Oryzias latipes: one gene and its partner. The main gene of each other region encodes a partner of the protein of the gene in region 2 in a complex. Links are inferred from orthologs where the notes say so. Each region holds a gene or a part of one and is shown on either strand. Other genes may lie near its edges.

Region 1 (11,630 bases), on a different chromosome or scaffold from region 2:
CTTTGTCTCCTGGAGCGCCTTTATGTCCATTACCGTTGTTTCCATTACCTCCTCCATTATTGCTGCCACTGGAGCCTGTTTGGGCGTTGCTCGGAGAGCCTGCCCCAGATGGCGAGGACACTTTCCCCGGGTTTTCTGTGCTCGACGAGCGACTGACTGGCTGCTTCCCCAAAGTCAGAGGTGGAGGAGGCTTGAGAGTTACCTGGCTGGAGCCATTTCCATTGTTGTTTCCAACGACTTTTCCTCCTGCAAGTCCTGACTTGGCTCCAGCGAGCCCTGACAACCCGACAGGTTTCTGACTAGGAGCTGTCAAGGTCTTGCTGCTCCCGCTCGCGCCAGAGGAAGCTAGTTTGGAGCTAGCGGGAAGAGAGGGGTTTGTTTTGGCGCCAAATGCAGCCCAGCCTGTCAGACCGCTGCTAGAGGAGGAGGATGTTGAAATAGTGGAACTCGCCAATGTGACAGGTGGCTGTGTGACAAAAAAAAAAAAAGAGAAAAGAATCAAAGTTAGGAAACTAAAGGATGTCACAAATTCGTCACATTTCATCAAAAATATTTTAAACCAAGAAGCAACCCCTTACAATTTCACGCTTGTCTCATTTCTATTAATCTTAAATATGTAACTTAAAAAATAAATAAAAAGACAACTTTGCTTTAAACCAATCCTTGGTTTTTAAGTACAGCTAGAGTAATTGCGTTTTTCTTATTGACTAAACTTTGTTACCGTGGAAATGTGAAAAAAGAAAATGGAAAAAAAAAAGTAAACATGATGCTTTTGCATAGGTATTACAAACAACTCCCCCCCCCCCCCCCACAACTGCTAATGTGACTGCTGCAGTTTTAAATGTCTGAGATATGTTTCTACATTCACATTTTTGTGCCAGAGGATGAAAATTTCATGTTTTGTTGTTAAAGATTTTTTTGTGCTTTGCCACCTCAGGTGGACCTGCTGCGTTGTTTTTAGTTCAAACTGTTTAAAGCTTCTAATGCAAACGTTATTTTTAGAAAAATCTTCACTGCAATTTCTTTTTACAATTTTAACATTTACACGGTATTTTCAAGTACTTTTTTAGTTTTTTACATTTAGATATGGATAGAAAAAGGCCATATTGTGCAGCTCCACATGCTGGTTCGCCACAGACCGGTTCAATGTCAAGACTATATTTTCACGGAACGGTCCGAACGGGCAAAGTTTGTGTTTAATCTTTTTAAAGCTTCTGGTTTCTGAACACCCTATTTTTTCAAATAAAATACTATAACAAGAAATTTTGTAAAAAAAAAAAAAAAAAAAATCAGAGACCATTAGCAGATTTTTTTAATTTTATTTTTTAACATATGACAAAGATTCAGTGAGTCAAAGTTGTTTATTTGTAAATAATTCAATGAAAGCAAATTTATAGTTTTTTTCTTCTTCTTTTACATAGAAAACCATTATAATAAATAACTCAACTCAGTCTGAGATCATCTTTCAGGGCAAAAAGACTGATCATATTTTGTTTTTACATAAATTCAGATTCACTGTGTATTTTTGAACACAGAGAAACATTTTCTCTGCTCTTATGTTTATTAATTCTCCCTTGCTGTAGAAAATGTCCCCTTTACAAGTTTCCACGAATCGAAACTTTATTTGATTGACACAATCATTCCCTGTAAATTGTTTGTGGATAGTTTAAATTTAAACTTTGTGATGAAGATTTTCCCTTTAATGTCAAAGTGGGGGCTAACAACCAGACGCTCACTTCAGGCACGTCCGGCTTTTAAGATGAGAAGGATAAATAAAGCAAAATAAATGACACAACTCACTTATTTTCTAAATAATAAACATGAGTTCATCACGTTTGCAACGTCATTATCGGGATGAGTGAAACATTCAAATGTCAGTCACTTCATATCAGACAAGCGAGCAGCTTCTGGTTCATGGGAATCTCAATAAATCCATATTTAAAGAACGACTCCTGATTTTGTCTGCATATAGCAGCTTTATTTTCCTTTGAAGTCAAATGTTCTTCCTCTGTTTCCACACTAACTCTTCTCTCCCCAAAGAAACTTTTCAAATACGTTTTATTGTTTGGTTTTGATTTGCCTTTAAGCGTTGAGCAACCAACTTTGCCTTGCGAGGTTCCGAGCAGATGCTTAAAGTCACGAGACGCGTTAAGACGGACGGATGTGGTAAACAAAATCCGGTAGTTTTTCAAAATAAAACTCTCTTTAGTATCAGAAAATACACTACTCTGTTGACAACGCTCTGGCTGCACATTTATTTTTCTATGTGCAATTATTCATTGAAAAAGAGCTGCTGAAAACAATTTCATTGTGCACTGCATAAAGATAATAAAAGATCGTGATAAACAAAACAGAAATGATCGAAGTTAGTGTATACATTTTTTTTTCTGTCTGCGGCCCGGGGGGTTGGAGACCACAGGTCTAGACGACAAAAGTCACCACGTACCTTCACCTCTGTCCTTTTGAAGGCTTGGAAGGTGTTGGCTGTGTCAATCTTAAGCTTGCCCTCCGTTTTCTTCACCAGCGTGTCTTTCACCACAGGCACTGATGATGCAGATGCAGGAGACGGTTTTTGTGGAGGTTTCTGCGCCTTGAGAACACACACACAAAAATCATTAGCTTTAATGAAGACTGTTGGTCCTGTTGCCATGACTCCCAGCTGATCACTATAAGAGTCAATACCCGAGCACAGGAACAGCTCTCACCATGCGTTTCATTTGCCTGGTACAACGAGCACAGTACCACACAAGGCGGGGGTCGTTGACCTCTTTGTCTGTCACTTGGGGCTTGTGGCAGTCCTGGTGGTACAGATTATGACACTCCTGACACTCCACCAACTGGTTTCCCATGGTCACCGTCATTTGTCTACAGTTCAGAGAAACGCAGACGCAAAAACAGTTGAGTGAAGAGAATTTCATACCAACTCGCACGTTGTAGAAAGAGAAACTGGATCCACAAACCAGAAAAATGTGCAAATAACAAAGAAACTCAAAGTTTCATTTCATTTCATTTGATAATTAACAAGCACCTGCAAACCACACAAGCCAGTCCCATTTCCATGGCAAAGTCGTCAGCATTAGTTTCATCGTAGTCGTGTATGTTGGGCATGAGGTCCTTGCTCGTCTGAACAGTTATAGGGGACGAGCGATTGTCCGGTTTCTCCAAGCGGGACTTTTTTGGAGGATCCACTTCAGACAACTCCACCCGTATCTATTTGTCAATGAGACAGAGAACGTATGAAATTTGAAAATTCATACCAACATTGGTGTTCAATCACACAAGCTGTTATGCTTAAAATAACCACAGATTGAGAAGAAAGTCCCAAGCAATGTCTATTATTATTATTTTAAACTAAGGATGTACATGTTTGTTAGAAATGGACTTGTTCATCTCGCTGTGGCATCATTTAGTTCATAAAATAAAGTAATAATATTCAATTACAAGACCCAGGAAAGCCATAAATCAAGACTTCGATTATTCATAAAAAAAAACAACCTTTAAGTTGCTGATATGTTAAAATAATGACCCATGTATGTTTTCTTTTTCTCTTTCCCTGATCAGGCATCCTTTTTCTGGTGTTAAAAAAAAGTCTCAAATTTTATTCCAAACATTTTTTTTTTGAGTGTTGTCATTTCTTTTTGCATTTGTCAATATTTTATGTCTCTTCAGGGCTTTATTCCTAAATTCTAATGATTGACAATTGTTGCAGCTTTAATTGGAATCAATGTAAATCCTGAAGAGAATTAATGAGTACAGTCCAATCATGGCACATGGTGTCATCTAAACATACATGATAATGTGACAACACTTTTAATCCCCCACCTTCTCTGATGGCCTCTTCTCTGCTTCTTTCTTGCTCTTCTCTGAACTGGATTTGGAACTTCCACTGTTGCTGGAAGATGGAGTGCTCAAAGACTTTGAGTCTTGCTTAGTCAGGCTCAGTTTGGACACAGAACTTTTTGGCATTTCCAAGTCCTAAAGATGAACACAGCAGAAAAGAGGAGCAATAAGCTCCATACGAATGAATTATCACTGACAGCGTAAGACTATCTTTATAAGAAGCGGATCTTACTTTTTGTAATGAGCGGTAGGAGGAGTCACCTCCTCTCGCAAGGGACTCATCGAGTAAAGCTTTGAGTTTCTCTGCTGAATCTTTGTTCTTGGAGTGCAAATAACCCAGAGCCTTTAAAAAAAGGGGGTCCAACTCCAAGCTGACAGGTCCAGCCATGGCCTAGTTAGAAAATGATTGAATAATGTTAGGTTTTCATTGACGTCTGCAAATTACAAATGTACACTTTGCTACAATACAAAACTATTTCATCTTATCTAGATTGCAAATTAAATATACTAACTATAATAAAAAACAAAAACAAAAACAAACATTTATTAAGTCAGTCACACATGTTTATAGGCGTCTGGGAGCATTTACAACAATGAATATCAATGATGAGCATATTTATTCAAAGTTATAGTTTGCTAATTACAATTGTAATCAAATAAAGCAATTTACAATGAACTATAGGCTGTCAAAACTAACAAAAAATACAGCAACCAATAAAAATGTTCATTTTTAAGAGTTTTGCCTAATAATGGGTACACAAAAACGGAACGTTTTTAAGACTAACCAGCTATTTTTCCTTATTTGCGGTATTTATTACAAGAAATCCTGCCTCTGCATTATTTACTACAAATATATAAAGAAATATGATGCCTGTGTCTATTAAAAACAACCCACAATGCTCAAATCCAGTTGGTAGGGTTTAAAGTAATCGTTGGTAGCAGATGGACGGAACAATATCACTGCGACACCGTAGGTAAAGTTATCTTCCCAAATGTCACCAACACGTCAAAATCCCCAGTCTATAGCTTTAAATGGGTAATCCTACCTCACACTCAGTTTCTGCAAAATGTTGGTCTCTGCTGTAGATATTTCTGTTTAATAGAACTCTTTCCACAAAGAGGAAATCGCCGCTGACGTTTTATGTCTTTCACAATGTGCACCCGATAAATGTGTCCGGAATCTAAGTGGGCGGCGCAAGTAGAACAAAAAATATACTTCACGTAATAGCAAAGCGAATTTGTTTTTTGTTTTTTCACTCGTATTTTTAAATAAGTTTTATTCTAACCGACTTTCTATCAATAAATGCATTTAAAATGTATATATTTTAACGACCAGCTGGTGGCGCTGTGGCAATACTCGACTCAATAACTCGTAGTAGAAGAAGAAAAAGCAGCACGCTGATAACGTGATGTTTGTAAAGTAGCCGGTCTGTATGACTTCTTTCTGACTGTTTTATGGCATTATTAGCAGTTGAAAAGACAAATAGTGATAATAAAAAATACTTAAACATATTTCTCCCATTCACAGCATTTACCATGACACACGCCGAACAACCCCCGTGCCTCTACTTAGAAGTTTGCAGCCAAAACGAGCAGCTGCGTCTTCCCCTGCACTCTTCTATAGTTCTGTTTCTGCTGTCTTACTGCGACTGCGAGTCTTTCAGAGTGTTTCTCGTCCTTGGCGACAGCAGCAGCTCCGAGCCTCTGAAGAGCCAGCTTCCAGCATCTGCAAGTCTCTCAGACGTCCAGGTGGACGAGCTGCCCAAACTGGTGAGCAGCTGCCGCCTCCCCGCTGCTCTGGATGAGAGCGCGCAGATCTGCAGGGCCGGACTGGCGGTGGTCCTCAGACACATCATCGACAAGAGCATCGAGGCTGACCCTTCCAGGAAGGATGTAGCAGCTCTGCTGGGCTTCAAAAAGACCTGCTTAAAAGCCTGTGCAGAGGTTGGTGCAATTACACTCTATCACGTCTCTGTAGGTTTGTTTTGGTTGTCAGGATGGAAAAACACAAAAAGTCTTTATGTGTGTTTTGAAAATATGAAAAGACCGTGATGCTTTGCATTAAAGGGCATCAAAGTTATGCAGTTTTACATGAAAGGAACAGCTGTTGTGTTTGTAGGCAAAAAGATGCCACAAAAATGACACCCCCCCAACACAACACCAAGTATCATCTTACAGTTTCAGGTCAATGTTGCCATATGTTACAGAAAAACAGCAACATTAATTATCAGACATTTCCCCCCGGTGACAGGTGGTGCACCTTGCCAACAAATTATGGATGTAATGATTAATTGACTAAAATCGAATTTTATTCCTATGATCCAACCAGATCTTTCTGACGCAAGCTGTTAATTGAATCGACCTATGAAATCATTTCAAAATGAAATAAATTGATTATTATCAATATTGGAAAGTCCCATTTGGATTGAGGCCTTGTGGGTGTATTTTACTATAACATAAAAACTGACAGAGTGCCATTACAGTGGGCAACACACATGTGATGGCAGTAAAAAAAGATACCTACAGTCTTGTCAAATTGACTCCATCATTGAACACCTAAAGGCAGGATTTGTTGCTAGCAGTACAAGATGACCCAGACCAAACTGCATCTACATATACAGTCAGGACCATAAATATTTGGACAGAGACACATTCTTTCTAATTTTGTTTCTGCCTGGAGTTGATTAGAGGACTCGTGCTTGCATTTGGAAGATTTTGCTGTGAACAGACAACATGCAGTCAAAGGAGCTCTCCATGCAGGTGAAAGGAGCCATCATTAAGCTGAGAAAACAGAAAAAAACCATGCCAGAAATTGCTACAGTATTAGGAGTGGCAAAATCAACAGTGTGGTACATCCTGAGAAAGAAAGAAAGCACTGGTGAACTCAGCAACGCAAAAAGACCTGGACGTCCACGGAAGACAACAGTGGTGGATGATGGCAAAATCATTTCCATGGTGAAGAGGAACCTGTTCACAACTGCCAACCAAGTGAACAACACTCTCCAGGAGGTAGGCGTATCAATATCCAAGTCTGCCATAAAAAGAAGAATGTATGAAAGTAGATCCAGAGGGTACACTGCAAGATACAAGTCATAAGCCTTAAGAATAGGAAGAAGGCTAGATAGGTCTTTGCTCGGCATGCATTTCACTTGTTGCAGACTAAACTTCAGACAGAAAGGCCCACAAAGAAACAGCAACAGAAAGCCACTGCAGTAAAGGCCTGGCAGAGCATTCAGAAGCAGAAAACCCAGCATCTGGTGATGTCCATGAGTTCAAGACTTCAGGCTGTCATAGCCAACAAAGAGTTTCCAACCAAATATTAGTAATGACCATTTTGTTTTCAGTTATTTCATTTGTCCAGGAGCCCATGAAATGAAGGGATTGCCTTTAAAAAATGCTTTAGTTTTTCACATTTTTATGCAATCTTTTTGTTCAACCCATGGAATAAAAGCTGAAAGTCTGCACTTCAATGGCATCTGAGCTGTTATATTTAAAATTCACTGTGGTAATGTAGAGAAACAAAATTAGAAAGAATGTGTCTCTGTCCAAATATTTATGGTCCTGACTGTATATTTAGTTGCCATCTTGCTGTCATATGATACACTACAAAAAAGTAACATTTTGTTGAAATTATACTTTAAGCTTCGGTCACAAGCATTTTTTTAAAGAGCTGTTAAAAGCTCTTTTGATCATTTTTTCTCAGGGAATTTTATTTTGAAATCGGCCAAAACTGTCCAAAGCGTCATATAGGTGTTGAGTAAAGTTCTGTATCTCTTTCCCCCTGCAGGTGAGCAAGTGGACCAGACTGTGTGAAATAGGCATTCCTTCTGCTGTGGAGGAACACCTCCATAACCCAGGAGATGTGGGGAAGCAGCTGCCTCTCCCTGTTCTCACCCTGGAGAGCCGGCTAGCAGAACCCGTCAAAGTCCACAACGACGACAAAATCCGGAGGCAGAAGCTCCAAGAGCAGAAACGCAGGGAGAAGCTGGAGCCTGTTGGAGGCCAGGCGAACAAGGAGCCGTCTCCAGGACGTCCGCCACAGGTTTCTGACGAGCTGGAGCTGAGGGCAGCTTTGGCTAAGCTCTCTGTGGTGTCAGTACCGGCGGTAACCACCAGGGAGAACTCTGAGATCAGGAAAGTGAAGACCAGCGAGCTGCCGCCACTGGAGCACGTGTTCGCTGAAGGGCTGTATTTCACTCTGACTGATGTGGTGCTCTTGCCATGTATTCATCAGTATCTGGTAAGGGATTTGCACCGGATCATTGAGCAGTGTGACTTATTCAGAGTGCCGTGATAAGTGAGCCCTCATGCTTAAGGACGCCAGTCTTTCCATTTTTCAAGGATTCCTCTGCTTTATGATCCATAAAGACACTCTAAATGATCATTTCATTTTGTTATTACTGCATAAACCTTAAACCTTCGCTAGACTTGACACGTTTTTCTTCAAAAACCTTTGAGGACATTATTTCGTCCCGAGCCGTTGGTGAGGGTCATTATTCATATTTGGTCTCCCTACGTGAACCCTTGCAGGGCCTTACTTCCCATTATGCACCTCTCTGTTTGAAAAGTGAAGTTGCAAGTTTTAACTGGCTTGCTGAGACTTTTATTGTGATAACTTGTCAAATTATGCATGACGTATGGTTTTAGCACTCCGGTCAGGGTGAGCAGACTCCTGTCAGGTGCATTCAAGCAGAAACTTGAGTAAAGAGGACTTGGCACCTGTTTGCTCTCACAGGTGGTCCGGAGCCATCTGGCAGAGCCTGATAACAGCGTGCGAAAGGGTCGCACATTAGGGAGGTTAAAATGCATTTCATTTGGGAACTTTTTTTTTTTTTTTTTTTTGCAGAATCGAAACACTTTGGTTTTTTTTATTGACCTAAAGTTGAATCAGATTCGAGTGCGAATACTAAAAATGAGTGCCGCTCATTTGACAGTAGGAACTAATTTAACAGCATTAAAGTGCTTTCAAAAGGAGCAGCAGTGGTTGAAGCTTGAAAAAAACAATTTAACAAAATACTTAATTAGCTCTTTGGAGAAAGAAAAAGATTGAGCAATTTTAAAGAGTTATAGAAGTTTAATGGAATGTCTACAGATATAAAATACTTGTTGATTTGTAAAAATACTCTCCTCTCAGGCATTCCCATGAGTCTGTCAGTAACTGAACATGTTTGCCCTAAAGCACCTCCAGGTGTTTCTAATACCCCACAAAAGGAATGGGTCTCGCTGGAGCCAAAATATTTGATTGTGGTATTTTGACCAACATTGTTATTCAAAACTAAACAAAAAAAAACTTACCACTATGTATGAATGGTATGGATTATAATTTCTGCAGCAGTAAATTAAAACATTACTGTAGTGATGATTATCCCTATAACAGTTAGACGTATACGTCCTGCAGCCTTTTGGTGCTTCCTTCACATTTAGAGCTTTTAGCAAGACTTAGATTAGTACATTTTATCTAGAGTTCTTTATTCATTTTTTCCCCGTTTTTATTCCACACTTTTGTTCTGGTAAGCTAACAAATGTTTCATTCATACCTGTTTTTCTGGCATGCCATGATAAACTTCAAACTGCATTGCTTGGTTAAATCCAGATTTTTGCATTGTTGCTTTCTTAGAAGATTACATGCATTCCCTAAAAGCTTGGGTTTTTGGTTCAGTCTTTTTAGGGAGCATTACTGCTAAAAGACTGTGCCTTAGCTGTGAAAGTTTCAGCAAAAATGAGTCTTGCAGCTTTGTGCGTTCATAGTTGTGTCCTTTTGGCAGCTGCCCTTAAATCACCACTTGGGTGTGCAGGGTTTACTCTATTCCCAAATTTAACCAGTTTCTCCGTCCATTTTTCTAAGATTTCACTTTTCTATTTTATTGTTAATAAACTCTAACCTGCAAAAAAAAAAATTGAAACTGCCTTTTATTTTCATTTAGTTTGTACTTTGAATAGGTTCCTACTTAACAAGCATGTTATTCCTATGATTAACTATCTGTTTGTGCCTCAAAATGATCTATATAGCATGTTTTTTCTTAACACATCTCAAATTCTTCCCTTTTGTGAACCCCGTATTATTAAAAATGCCTTAAAGTTTTATTTAACAAACAAAAAAAATATGAGTATTTTTCAATATTTAGATGGAAAAAAAGAAGCTTTTTTTCCCTTTCAAATCTGAAAACTGAACATTAAGCACAAGAATGTCACAGGAGCAAATGTTCTGTTTGTGTTTTTGATTTTACTGGATAATTAGCAGTAAAAGTATTTCCTTTTACATTTCTTTGGAAAACCATTTGCACCTCCATGTTTTCATCTTGCCTGTGCTGATAGCTCTTGTTGGACCTGTTCTATGTCGTTCTGGAATGCTTTAGTGAGTCTCCAGCCTCAGTTTCACCTCTCAACTGTCTCAGTCTGTTCCTCAGATGTTGGGATTTAACTGATGTTCTCACAGTGAGGCTTTTAGCAGTCAGCTGTGCTCCAGTGGTTTCCAGTTTCATACTCAGCTTAGCGTGTTTTCTCTGTCCACAACACACATCCCACGCTGTCTCCTGTGGCTGTCTTCTTTATCCGTGATCACAGCTTTGTTTGTCTTAGGTTTCTATGCAGAGCCCCGGTTTGACTAGCAATCGCTTGTTAAACCTGACATTTATAACGCGTTGGTCCGAATCATCTAATCAATACTCTGCTTGTGTTCTCCCTCCCCTCATTTTCATTTGCTCTGCTTATCTCGAAGTGTTCCCTTCAAGCCAGTGCCCCCAGCGCTCTGCAGCAGCTTCCCAACCTGCTCCGTTGGTACAACCGTGTTCAAGAGGTGCCCGGTGTCATGCGGGCAGCAAAAGACTGTGGGCTTCATCTGTCCACCCTCCAAGTTGCCACGACTTGCCCTCCATGGCCGTCAGCCCATCCTTCAGCGACCCTGCTGGAGGAAGAGGGAAGTCAGGAGACGACCACGCCACTTCCGTTCGTCGGGGGCCCCCGGCCAACGATGACCAAACTTAAAGTAAAGCTTTACTTTCTTTTTACCTATTCAACCCATTGACTCTATATGAGAACTGGATTAAGTGAGTGGGACGTTACCCACAGAAAATGACTAAGTAGTGGTTGGTCAAAAACGGTCTTAATCATTGTTTCTCTTTGGAGTGTAGCGATTAATCGATTTATATTCCTAAGATCCAACCAGGTTGATTTGTCTGAGGCAAGTTGTGTAGTCAATCGACCTGTACCATTACAAAATCATTTCAAAATGAAATAAAGCAATCATAATCCATATTGGAAAATACTGCTCTCACCAATCAGGAGTGAGCTTGTTGGAAGGCCACACCCCTTCCACTTGAAAGCAGGCTCTGGAGAATCTGTCAATCAAATGTTTCAAACGTTCAATGTGAGACCACCTGCTTGAATAACTTGCACTACAGAAAAAATATGAAAATAAAAAAAGTGTGAGAACAAGAATGGTTATTCTGACAGAATAACTGAGTGAGTCACATCTGTTTATTACTCAGGAGAAGTCTATGCGGGTACTTCCTGTTTAGTATGCCATGGGGGGCAGGGGGCCCTCAGTCCAGTTCTCACATACATTCAAAGGTTTTACCCTAATGCCTTCAGAAAGTGTTTGCTAGATAAAATCTACAATGTCTGAATTTTTGATTGTTGTTCTCCAGTTAGAATTTTCCTTGATTCCATAAAACAACATTCAAGTCTCTCTGTTTAAGTGAGTTGTGAGACAATCTACTTATTTTTGGTTGTTTCTGATAATAATATAATACCGGGAAAGACAAAGTAATGAAACACTGACCTTTCTTTTT
Region 2 (9,935 bases):
AAACGTAGCAAAACACTGCTAACTTTTAACACACACCGTTCGAAAAAACTAAACCAAACTACGAGATGGTCTCACCAGTCTGCCTCCGTCTGCCCACTCCTCTAGCGACTACGGATCGGAAAAGCATCCTAATACAACAACAAAGGACAATCCCAGATGGCTGTTAAAACGCCTGTGAAGTTTGTTGGATCGTTATGGGAAGGTCTTCTTGTCCGTGTTGCTGCAGACTGTTTCCCGCGAAGTGATCGCCCTCAGAGACAAACCGAATTCCGCGCGAGTTTTGCGTCGCAGGCTGCCATTGGTTCAATCGGGGTCCAAGTCGGAGCACTTCCGCTTCTGTTGACTTTGTGCTACATCTCCTCTTTCCGCTTTTTCAATCAAAGAAACGATTAAGTAAACAGCTAGTTTCAAGTATTTTATATCAACTTTTGTTTCTGCATTCATGCAAACGTTTTATTTCTAGACATCAGACCTTGATTTATCCCCAAAATATAGAAAATAGGATTTATTACCCCGGCCCTAATGTTGTTGTTGTTGTTCTGACCGGACGGAATTAATTGTGACAGACTGTCGCTAGTACTAAACTGTGCACTGAAATTCTTATGCTTATTGGGTAATATTAAATTTTTTTTAGCGAACATAAAATGTCGCTGTCGTCAGCGCGTTCTTTCTTATCAGAGGCTTGTTATGGAGAACAAGAACTGGACGCTAATTCTGCTCTCATGGAGCTGGACAAAGGTGTGCTAGCTTCTTTGCTATGCGTTATCATACATTGCATCCCAATATACCGTGAAGTTTTTTTTTTTTTTTTTTTTTTTTTTTTTTTTTTTTACAATGGACTTTACTATAATTGTTTTTGTTTTAAATATTGCTGTGTAAATTCAGTTTGTTTTGTGTTAAATCCGCGTTCAGGACTGCGGTCGGGGAAACTCGGAGAGCAGTGCGAGGCTGTGGTGTTGTTCCCAAAACTCTTCCAGAAGTACCCCTTCCCCATCCTCATCAACTCAGCCTTTCTAAAACTAGCAGATATCTTCAGACTTGGGTAGGACCGTTTCATTTGTTTATTTTAAACACCCGATATTTCACATAGGATCGTTACAAGACCACTTGATTGTTTGTTGTTTAAATAAAGATGCATGAATTTAATCTCTAATGAAAAGGCAACTTTGACTTTTATGGTTTAGCTTGAGCTCATAGATTCTTAATGTTTTGGGGTTGCTCATAAGCAAGTTTAGTTTATCAGATTTAAAAAGAAGTTTGGTGGTATTTGTTGCCCTGGTAACGCATTCTGTGTACCCAAATTAGCTCTAAAGACTAAATGGAATATTTCAGTGAACTTTACTTTGCCACAAGCCTGTTTGTTCATGGAAACGTCTGTTTACAGCAACAACTTCCTCCGTCTGTGTGTGCTGAAAGTAACGCAACAAAGTGAGAAACATTTGGAAAAAATTCTCAACGTGGACGAGTTTGTGAAAAGGGTGTTTTCAGTCATCCACAGCAATGACCCTGTGGCCAGAGCCATTACATTAAGGTACAGCACAACAAGGGGGAGATGTGTTACAGAATGCACTTAAAAATTCAAATGGAAAAAATGTTGAATTTGTATTTTATTTGACTAAATTGCTAAGTTTCCCCTGGTTCTGGTCTGTTCAGGATGCTCGGTAGTTTGGCCTCGATCATCCCAGAGAGGAAAAATGCCCACCACAGTATTCGGCAAAGTCTGGATTCCCATGATAATGTGGAAGTGGAAGCTGCCATCTTCGCTGCTGCAAGCTTTTCTGCACAGTCAAAGTAAGGAAAGTCATGAGTGATACATCCATTGTAGTTCATTAGGATTTTTTTTTAATTACATGTTATTTATAATTTTTCCTTTTTAGAGACTTTGCAGCTGGAATTTGCAATAAAGTCAGTGAAATGATTCAAGGTAAATTGATTATGTGTTGAAAATAAAGCATTTGTGAAAGAATACATTTTTCCAAAGGTATTAAATAATTTCTAGATAGTCTTTTTAAGCTTTTATTTTTATTTCCTTCTCAGGTTTAGACACTCCAGTGGACCTGAAGCTAAAGCTGATTCCCATGCTGCAACACATGCATCATGATGCCAATCTGGCTTCCAGCAGCAGGGAGCTTCTGCAGCACTTGGTCAGTTCCTACCCTTCCACCCCTATGGTCATCGTCTCATTGCACACCTTTACCCAACTGGCTGCTTCCTCCCTCATTGATATTCCTAAGCAGGTAACCTCATGTCACAATCTTAGTGACTTGTATCTGATCTCTAATAAGGTTTTTAATGTGCTGGTACACTAAAAAGATGATATTTGGAACAAATTCTTTCCTGCAGTTGCAGCTTCTGCTTCAGTACCTTAGAGATGATCCAAGGAAAGCTGTGAAGATGCTCACAATTAATGATTTAAAACTTCTGGCTAAAAAGGCCCCTCATCTGTGGATCAGAGAAAACACTCAGGTAAGGGGGACAATGGTTATTTTCACGTTAGTTAAACGTTTTTATGTAATCCAACTGGTTTTATATATTTTTGCAGACTCTGTGCGAGTGTGCTTTGGCCATTCCCTACAATAGTTTGAAGCTGGGCATGTTGGCTGTCCTCTCTACCTTATCTGGAACAATTGCAATCAAGCAGTATTTTAGTAATCCAGCAGGTGACAAGTTTACTCCAAAAAATCTTGTTTTTTTACTAATATTTTCTAGCATCAATCTAAAAACTGAATCTGTTCAACTTTCAGGCAGCTCCATGGTCTCCCCCCAGCTTACTGACCTGGTTAAACTTGCTCAAGAATGCTGTTACCATAGCAACCTGGCAGTGGCTGCTCAAGGGGTCGCCGTGCTCTCCAACATTGTTATTTCTTGTCCAGAAAAAGGTGAGCTTCTGCGGTGGTGGCCTATATTCCAGTCTTTTTTGTTTTTAATCTAGTGTTTGAGCTTTAATTTTATTGTCCATTTCCTATTTCCTTCCCCTCAGATATAATTCAGTTGGAGCAGGAAACAGTTTTGGGAGTTGAGTCCCTTCTGATGCTGTGTAGTCAGGATAGCAGCCCTGGTTCACAAGCCACACTCAAAGTAAGACACAACTATTTCCCAAAGGCTAAGGTATTAAATGCAAATGTGACCCACATTTTCAACGTCTGCACAAAATTGGACCAAAATTCAAGCGATTTTTGCTCGAATTTTGCTGCTCCCCCTACAGCATATACTCACAGCGCCATTGTGAGGAATGGAAAGATTGAGTGTTTCATCTTTAAGTAAACGAATGAAGAAATCACAACTTTGGACCTAGCAACATTTAAAAAAAGCTTATTCATTTCAAAAATATTCAGTAAATCTGTATTTTATTGTCGTCTTCTTTCTGAACCACCACAGACTGGCCTCACCTCACTGGTCAAGTTGCTCAAAGGTCGACCGCATCTCAGCCAGGCAGCTGTGGATTTCCTGCTGGGCCAGCTCCACTTATCCTGTGACTCGTCCCGCACTCTCATTTGCCACGCTCTGGCGGCCATTGCCACTCACCTGCCCGTGCTGGGGGACGGCATGCTGGGGGATCTGGTGGATCTCTACAGGGTTGTCAGTCACTCCTCCACCGGAGAACAGCAAGAGCTTCTGGTGAGAGATGGCAATCAAGTCACGCCTGATTTTCTGTTAACTTGCGTTGGATGTGGATTTGGTTCAAGATGACATTTTTTGTGGATTTTCTATTTTAGGGTCACTTCATTTAATTGTTCCTTAACTATGGCCAGCAGCAGTCCTGGACTGCGAGGAATAGATTGTTTTTGCAATTCTCTTTTCTTACTGCATCTGGTCAAAATGTATTTTGGGCATAGAAAGTGGAAATGTGGGTGTGGTTAACAAAAAACCTTTGTAGCTAAGGAAATCCAAAAATTACATAGACCTGTTCGTCAACCCCATGTGACCAAAATAATGAATAGTTGCTATAGAGATGAAATCAATAAAAATATTTTGGGGAAAAAATCATTTTTTAATGAATTTGTCATGTGCAGTTTTGAACAGAGGGGCAGAGTGAAGGGGTTTAGCAGCCACTCAGCCATTGAGGGCAGGTCAAAGGGGGCTGCAGGGGCGGGTGGCGCCTACAGACCATACAACGCCATGCGCAGCTTTGGTTTTCTTTTTTATCTGCCATTTTAAACTAATTCACATAATGTGGCTGCTACAGGTTTCCTTGGCAACAGTGATTTTTGTTGCAAGCCAGTCATCTCTTTCAGCCGAGGTGAAAACTGTCATCAAACAGCAACTGGAGAGCGTTGCTAACGGGTGGACGGTGTATCGCATCGCACGCCAGGCTTCACGGATGGTGAGCTTCTATCGAAGCAGCGTTTGCGTGAAGCCATGAAGCCGGAAATCAAAGCTCCTTGTGTTTGACCTTCAGGGGTGCCACGAGTTTTCCAGCGAGCTGTACCAATGTCTGCGGACGCGTGTGGCATCTGAACACTTCTACTTCTGGCTGAACAGCCTGAAGGATTTTTCCCAGGCTGAGCAGTGCCTCACTCACGTGGAGGATGGAGACTACAGCGGAGCCATGAGTGCCATCGCCGAAGCTCTTCGCTCCTACCAAAAGGGCATCGCCTCCCTCACAGTCGGTTAACTCCCAGGCATCTGCTTGTCATAAAACATTAATGTAGTCCACGCTTCCCTAGGGACTTAAGTGTTTTAGGTTTTGAAAGTCATTTGGATGTTTATGTATTTTGTTGACGCTCCTTAAGTCATAAATGAGTAATATTTGTGAGCGTTTATCTGATGCATCTGTCCCTTTAGGCTGCCAGTACCCCTCTGAGCCCGCTTACATTCCAGTGTGAGTTCATTAAGCTGCGCATCGACACTCTGCAAGCCCTGTCGCAGCTCATTTGTACATGCAACAGCCTGAAAACCAGCCCCCCTCCTGCCATCGCCACCACCATTGCGCTCTCCTCCGGCAACGAGCTGCAGCGGTGCGGCCGCATCTCTCTGCAGGTTAAAGAAATAGATTCTGTTTGGGTGAAACTTGTGGAGAAAAGAGTTGGGAAGTTCTGCTGCTAAGTGGAAATGCATTGTGGGAACAGATGTTGAGGGTTATTAACTCTGTAGTTTGACTAATGAGCCTTTTATCTTAACGTTCCTCCTGTCCGCTTTGACATGTTTTTATCTACAAAATGTGACGAAAAGGAGTTTCCTGTTAAAATGCAAATAAATTATGAAAAAATAAAAGAAATCTTGGTGCTGACAAGCAAGATTTATGAGATTATTAATGGTGCTTCTCTTCTTTTTTCCAGATGAAAGTATGCATGGAAGAGTTCAGAAGTCTCGCCGCTCGCTATTCAGATTTACACCAGTCATCTTTTGATGCTGATTACGCCACCCTTCGTAATGTGGAGTTGTATCCTTAGCATTGGACTGAAGTCTGTCTTAAAAAGGTTTTCCATTTTTGCTCTCTACTGTGATTGACTTCACCTTAACTGTTTATGCAGACAACAGCAGAGCTGCCTGCTTGTTTCACATGTAATTGAAGCTTTGATAATCGACCCACAGGTAGCTAGGTGAGATTCACTCTTATCATTTGGCCTTCAAAAGAATGCACATTTCTATACCTTAGTCTATTTAAAAAAAAAAAAATTCTATTGCATATTCGTCCCAGTGTAATTCTACTGGAAGACCTTACTCTAAATATTTAAACATATCATTATTTATGTGAGAAAGTGAACTAAGAAAACATCTGGCATGAGGATGTATGAAGTTAAGATGTCACACCGCTTCTTGTGAACTGCAGTTTTCAGGAGTACGGCACTCTGGGCTCTGTCCAGACTGAGAGTGAATATGAGCGCAGAATGATCGCAGTTTTTAATCGCGTCCTGGAGGAAGCGGAAGGCCTCACCAAGAAGCACCCTCCTGTTTCACACCTGGTACGATGTCAACTTTCTGCTAAGTTTTTCAAACTTTAATGGTTGTACTAAGAGGTGGTTTACCTGCCCCTTTGGACATAAATTCTTTCAGTTTTTCAAACTTCTGTCAGTGTTCAGAGACTTGGTCACATGTGCAGATTAATACATTTAGGAATGGTCAAGATATTTGCACCTAATTTATTACATTATTTATCATAATTTATTACATTTTGTGATAAATTTGGACTCATTTATCTTTTTTTTTTTAAATAAATTTACTTTTACATTGTTCAATTCAGTTTCATGTTTAAAAATAAACTTGACTCTACATCCTGATAAGCTTCTTTTTTTTTTTTCAAAGTTTCTGTCTGTGGTTTTAAATGATTTTTTAAAAGCTGTCCTTTAATGCAGCTGTTTTTCCAGATTAAAATATAAAGGTGATGGGACAATTGGACTAAACCTTTAATTCAAGCAGAAGTTGGAGACTCCAAACAGCCGATTGTCATGTTTCATATGATGATTTGGTTTAATTACATCAGAATCGGCCAACCTAAACGTGTTGTTTTGTTTTCCAGCACACCAGCTGCCTATGTGACACTGTCATAGCTTTGCTCAAAGTGCCGCTGTCTTTCCAGAGATATTTCTTTCAGAAGCTCCAGTCAACCAGTATCAAGGTAATTATTATTTTAATTAGAATTGTCTGTGAAACATCTTTCTGAGCTTTTTATTTGTTGTTGCCGCTGAGAGGTCATTAGAGCTTTTATCTCAGTGATTGTAAGTGGGGGGGGGGGTGTATTGACCAGCTGTTTGTGGTACGCTGGAATACTTCCTGGTCCGGCTTTCAAGGAACCACTTGTGCCGAACCACTCCATGCAAAAACGAACTGGTTATTATCTTTCCGACACAAAAAAGGGCAGAAATGGTCAAATCAGCTCAGAGAAATACATTTAATGATTTCCTAAAGACAAAAAATGCTGCAGCATGAAAGAAAAAGAATGAAACCTTTTTAGTTTGCCCCTTGAGAGGTTTTTGTGGGGTTTTTTTTTTGGCAGTTGGCGCTCTCTCCATCGCCGCGCACGCCGAGCGAGCCCATCCCTGTTCAGAGCAGTCAGCAGCTCACGCTCAAGGTGGAAGGAGTCGTACAGCACGGTTCGACTCCAGGACTCTTTAGGAAAATCCAGTCTGTCTGTCTCAATGTCACATCCGTTCTCCAGAGCAAGACCGGACCTGACTACAAAGTAAGTTCTTTGAGCCAAAATCAACTCTACCGATGTAAAAGTGATTTAGAAAGCTGGTGTTTCTATCATCTGTTTTTCACAAACGGTTGCATATTCCGGGTTTTTATCTTTCAGATTGCGCTGGATGCTAAAACAAATGAGATCGAGCAGCGTGTAGAACCTCACAATGACTACTTCAGCACCCAGTTTTTGCTGAACTTCTCCATCCTCGGCACCCACTCAGTCACCGTGGAGGCATCTGTGGTGGATGAGAGTGGCATTCAGTGGAAGACTGGGCCCAAGACGACAGTATCTGTCAAGTCTCTGGAGGATCCTTATTCCCAGCAGCTTCGCCACCAGCTGCAGCAGGGCGGAGCTCAGCCGGCAGCACAAAGGAGTGCATACATTCGCTTCTAGTGACTTTTTTTTCAAGTACTTTACAATGTGAGCTTGTGTAGTTGACCTTTTCTACATCATAGAAACTAAGCATGTACAGAAAAAAAAATTCAGATAATAAAAGACCATAAATTCTTTTTGGTGTTTTTATTTGAAGTGTTCATGTGGTTAGACATTTTGATGGCATTTAAATTTCTTGTGCTTAGATTACCCAATTCTACTTTTTTTTTTTATTTGAAAAAGATTTTAAGACACTTGAGTATATTACCTTTTAAGTGGCATTTCATGCGCTCACAAAATGAAGAGAGAATAAAAAGACAACTTTTAAAAACTTTTGGCTTGATAATTGCTTTCAATAACATAGTTGGACACCAGGGGGCAGCACCAAACAAACCATCGCTTTCAATTATAATCTTTTAATTGAACAATTTTTCTGTTTTGCTATCGACGCTTTTTTTAAAGATATTTTCTAAAGAGTTCAAAGTATTTATAGTACTAAATTCCTAAGTTTAACCGTTTTTCAGTAGGAATGAGGCAATATTGTTTTCATTAAACTAACATGTATCTTTGTGTTTACATCTCGTACTTTGCTGTCACATTTAAAAGAGTTAGACATTATTTTTTTAGATACTTTATAAGTTAAACTATAGAAAGAAAAGTCACATTTCTTCCATAATTTTTCGGAATTCTGCGTTTAGATAACAGTATGAGTCATTAATAAACTCGTCTTGCATTTTTTTTAACTTTTACTCGGAAATATGACCGATGTCAAAGTTTATAATACCTATGAAAATTATATTTGAAAGAAAGATTGGGGAAGGCGAAGAGGGCGAGTCATTGTAGATGACGCTACTAAATAGTGCCACCGCGCCTGCTTTTATTTTGAAGGCGTGTCGCACTCATTTCCGTTTTTGGCGTTTTGATCCTTTGTGTGCACTGCCGCGGTATGAATCGGAGATCTGGTAAGAGATAACGGGTCCTGGCAGCCCAGGGAATAAATCTCGTTGTCCCTCGTATTTGATGCGCACATGAAGGTGTTGCGGTGCGCCTGTCTAACGAGCGGCGTTGAGCCCGGGCCCGCATTCACCAGGCTCTGCCGCACTCTTTGATGTGTGAGCTCGGTGGCTAGCGGAGTTGACGGTGATGCTGCTGCATCAGAGGATTTATCCCGGCGCCTATGACTGTGAGATGGAGCTAACGGCGTTCAAATGGAGCTGCCCCCTCGACAGTTAGCGAGCTAACCCTGCTCGTACAGACCTGTCCCGGAGAGCTAATGGGTGCAGTTTCATCGCCCAGGGCTTTCTGTAACATCACCACCACGTTGTTACACCCCTGTCTTGTCTACACATCTAACCGATCATGCCGTGCTGCAATATTTGCTAACTTTGCCGTTTAGGAAAGCTACACGTGAACGAATTGATCCTACTTCCAAAGTTAGTAGTCTTCTGGCCGTCCTTGGATGCTTCAGTGATATTAAGTGGGTGAGTAACTTAAGGTACCATACTTTTGCTTCCAAACTACAGGGTGGGACTACACTCTGGATGAGATCTTCTTGCGCGTTGCACCAACATCCATACATCCTGTTTCTAACGTTTGGAAATTTTATCTTAAAGTACTAATCAGCTTAAACCTGTCACCCCTTTTTTGTTTATGTCGCATCATTTATTTTTAAATAATTATTTCAACCCAGTGATTGTCATTGGTGACATTTCATAGCATCTGTTCCCGTTATGCTAACTCACCGCGCGGCTAACTAGCATGTTATGAAGTAGTCGTCTACGACCCCGGCGAATTGTCCTTTTAAGGTCCAGCCTCAGCTTGTCTTACTCTTTCAGCCTCACAAACAACCCCGAATAACACACGTTTCTTTACAAAATGAATGTCATTAAATAATAATCATCATCATAATAATAATCCGTTCATAGTGTCCTCTAAGCGTGTGTTGCATATAAATGCCGTGAAATAGCCTTATCCTCAAATGTGTTAGCTATGAAATACTCCCATATAAGTAAAACTTCAGCTTAATATATCCTTCGTTACACGTGGCTGTGTTATGGAAGTAAAACCCTAAATAAATACTCTATTACCTGCATTGTAAGGTATTAATTTAAAATACTAGTGTACAATTCAGCATGTTTTTACAAATGAAATCAGTAGGAAATGGTTCACTTTGTAATTTAATGATTTCCCTTAACTGTGAGGGGACAGGAAGTGATTAATGGGAGTGAACAACAAAAAAAGGTCATATGTGGCTCATAACACATCCTTAGATTTTAAAGGGGAACCTTTAAACTTTATAGTAAGTTATAATGACATTTTAGGTGGAAAGAAATACAGTATTTTATTTTTAAAAAGAAAACTTTGTGTCACCAATTAAAAGATTGCACAAACCAAACAGACCTGATTCCAGCTTCAAAGCATCAACAGAGCATTAACT

What was found. Proteins that work in one complex are often made in the same cells at the same time.
Region 1: ints7 (region 2) and ints12 share a complex: the UniProt entries of both Homo sapiens proteins name them as parts of the integrator complex. The link is inferred for Oryzias latipes from reciprocal best matches to the Homo sapiens genes INTS7 and INTS12.

What each region holds. Positions count from the first base shown.
Region 1 is NC_019859.2:15,817,166-15,828,795, forward strand, and holds the start of ints12 (integrator complex subunit 12), read right to left. Parts: upstream 5,379-11,630; coding exon 5,376-5,378; exon of another isoform or gene 5,369-5,375; intron 5,268-5,368; exon of another isoform or gene 5,112-5,267; intron 5,006-5,111; exon of another isoform or gene 4,887-5,005; intron 4,232-4,886; coding exon 4,073-4,231; intron 3,976-4,072; coding exon 3,823-3,975; intron 3,211-3,822; coding exon 3,029-3,210; intron 2,866-3,028; coding exon 2,706-2,865; intron 2,591-2,705; coding exon 2,447-2,590; intron 467-2,446; coding exon 1-466. Other genes in the region: gstcd (glutathione S-transferase C-terminal domain-containing protein), read left to right, coding at 5,377-5,784, 7,628-8,080, 10,559-10,825. UniProt on the Homo sapiens protein: Component of the integrator complex, a multiprotein complex that terminates RNA polymerase II (Pol II) transcription in the promoter-proximal region of genes.
Region 2 is NC_019882.2:6,286,333-6,296,267, forward strand, and holds ints7 (integrator complex subunit 7), read left to right. Parts: upstream 1-336; 5' UTR 337-644; coding exon 645-738; intron 739-912; coding exon 913-1,042; intron 1,043-1,384; coding exon 1,385-1,531; intron 1,532-1,653; coding exon 1,654-1,791; intron 1,792-1,877; coding exon 1,878-1,924; intron 1,925-2,037; coding exon 2,038-2,237; intron 2,238-2,343; coding exon 2,344-2,466; intron 2,467-2,542; coding exon 2,543-2,660; intron 2,661-2,744; coding exon 2,745-2,879; intron 2,880-2,980; coding exon 2,981-3,078; intron 3,079-3,378; coding exon 3,379-3,618; intron 3,619-4,186; coding exon 4,187-4,324; intron 4,325-4,399; coding exon 4,400-4,606; intron 4,607-4,785; coding exon 4,786-4,980; intron 4,981-5,279; coding exon 5,280-5,383; intron 5,384-5,474; coding exon 5,475-5,543; intron 5,544-5,773; coding exon 5,774-5,906; intron 5,907-6,460; coding exon 6,461-6,559; intron 6,560-6,937; coding exon 6,938-7,123; intron 7,124-7,237; and 3 more. Other genes in the region: dtl (denticleless protein homolog), read right to left, coding at 76-127. UniProt on the Homo sapiens protein: Component of the integrator complex, a multiprotein complex that terminates RNA polymerase II (Pol II) transcription in the promoter-proximal region of genes.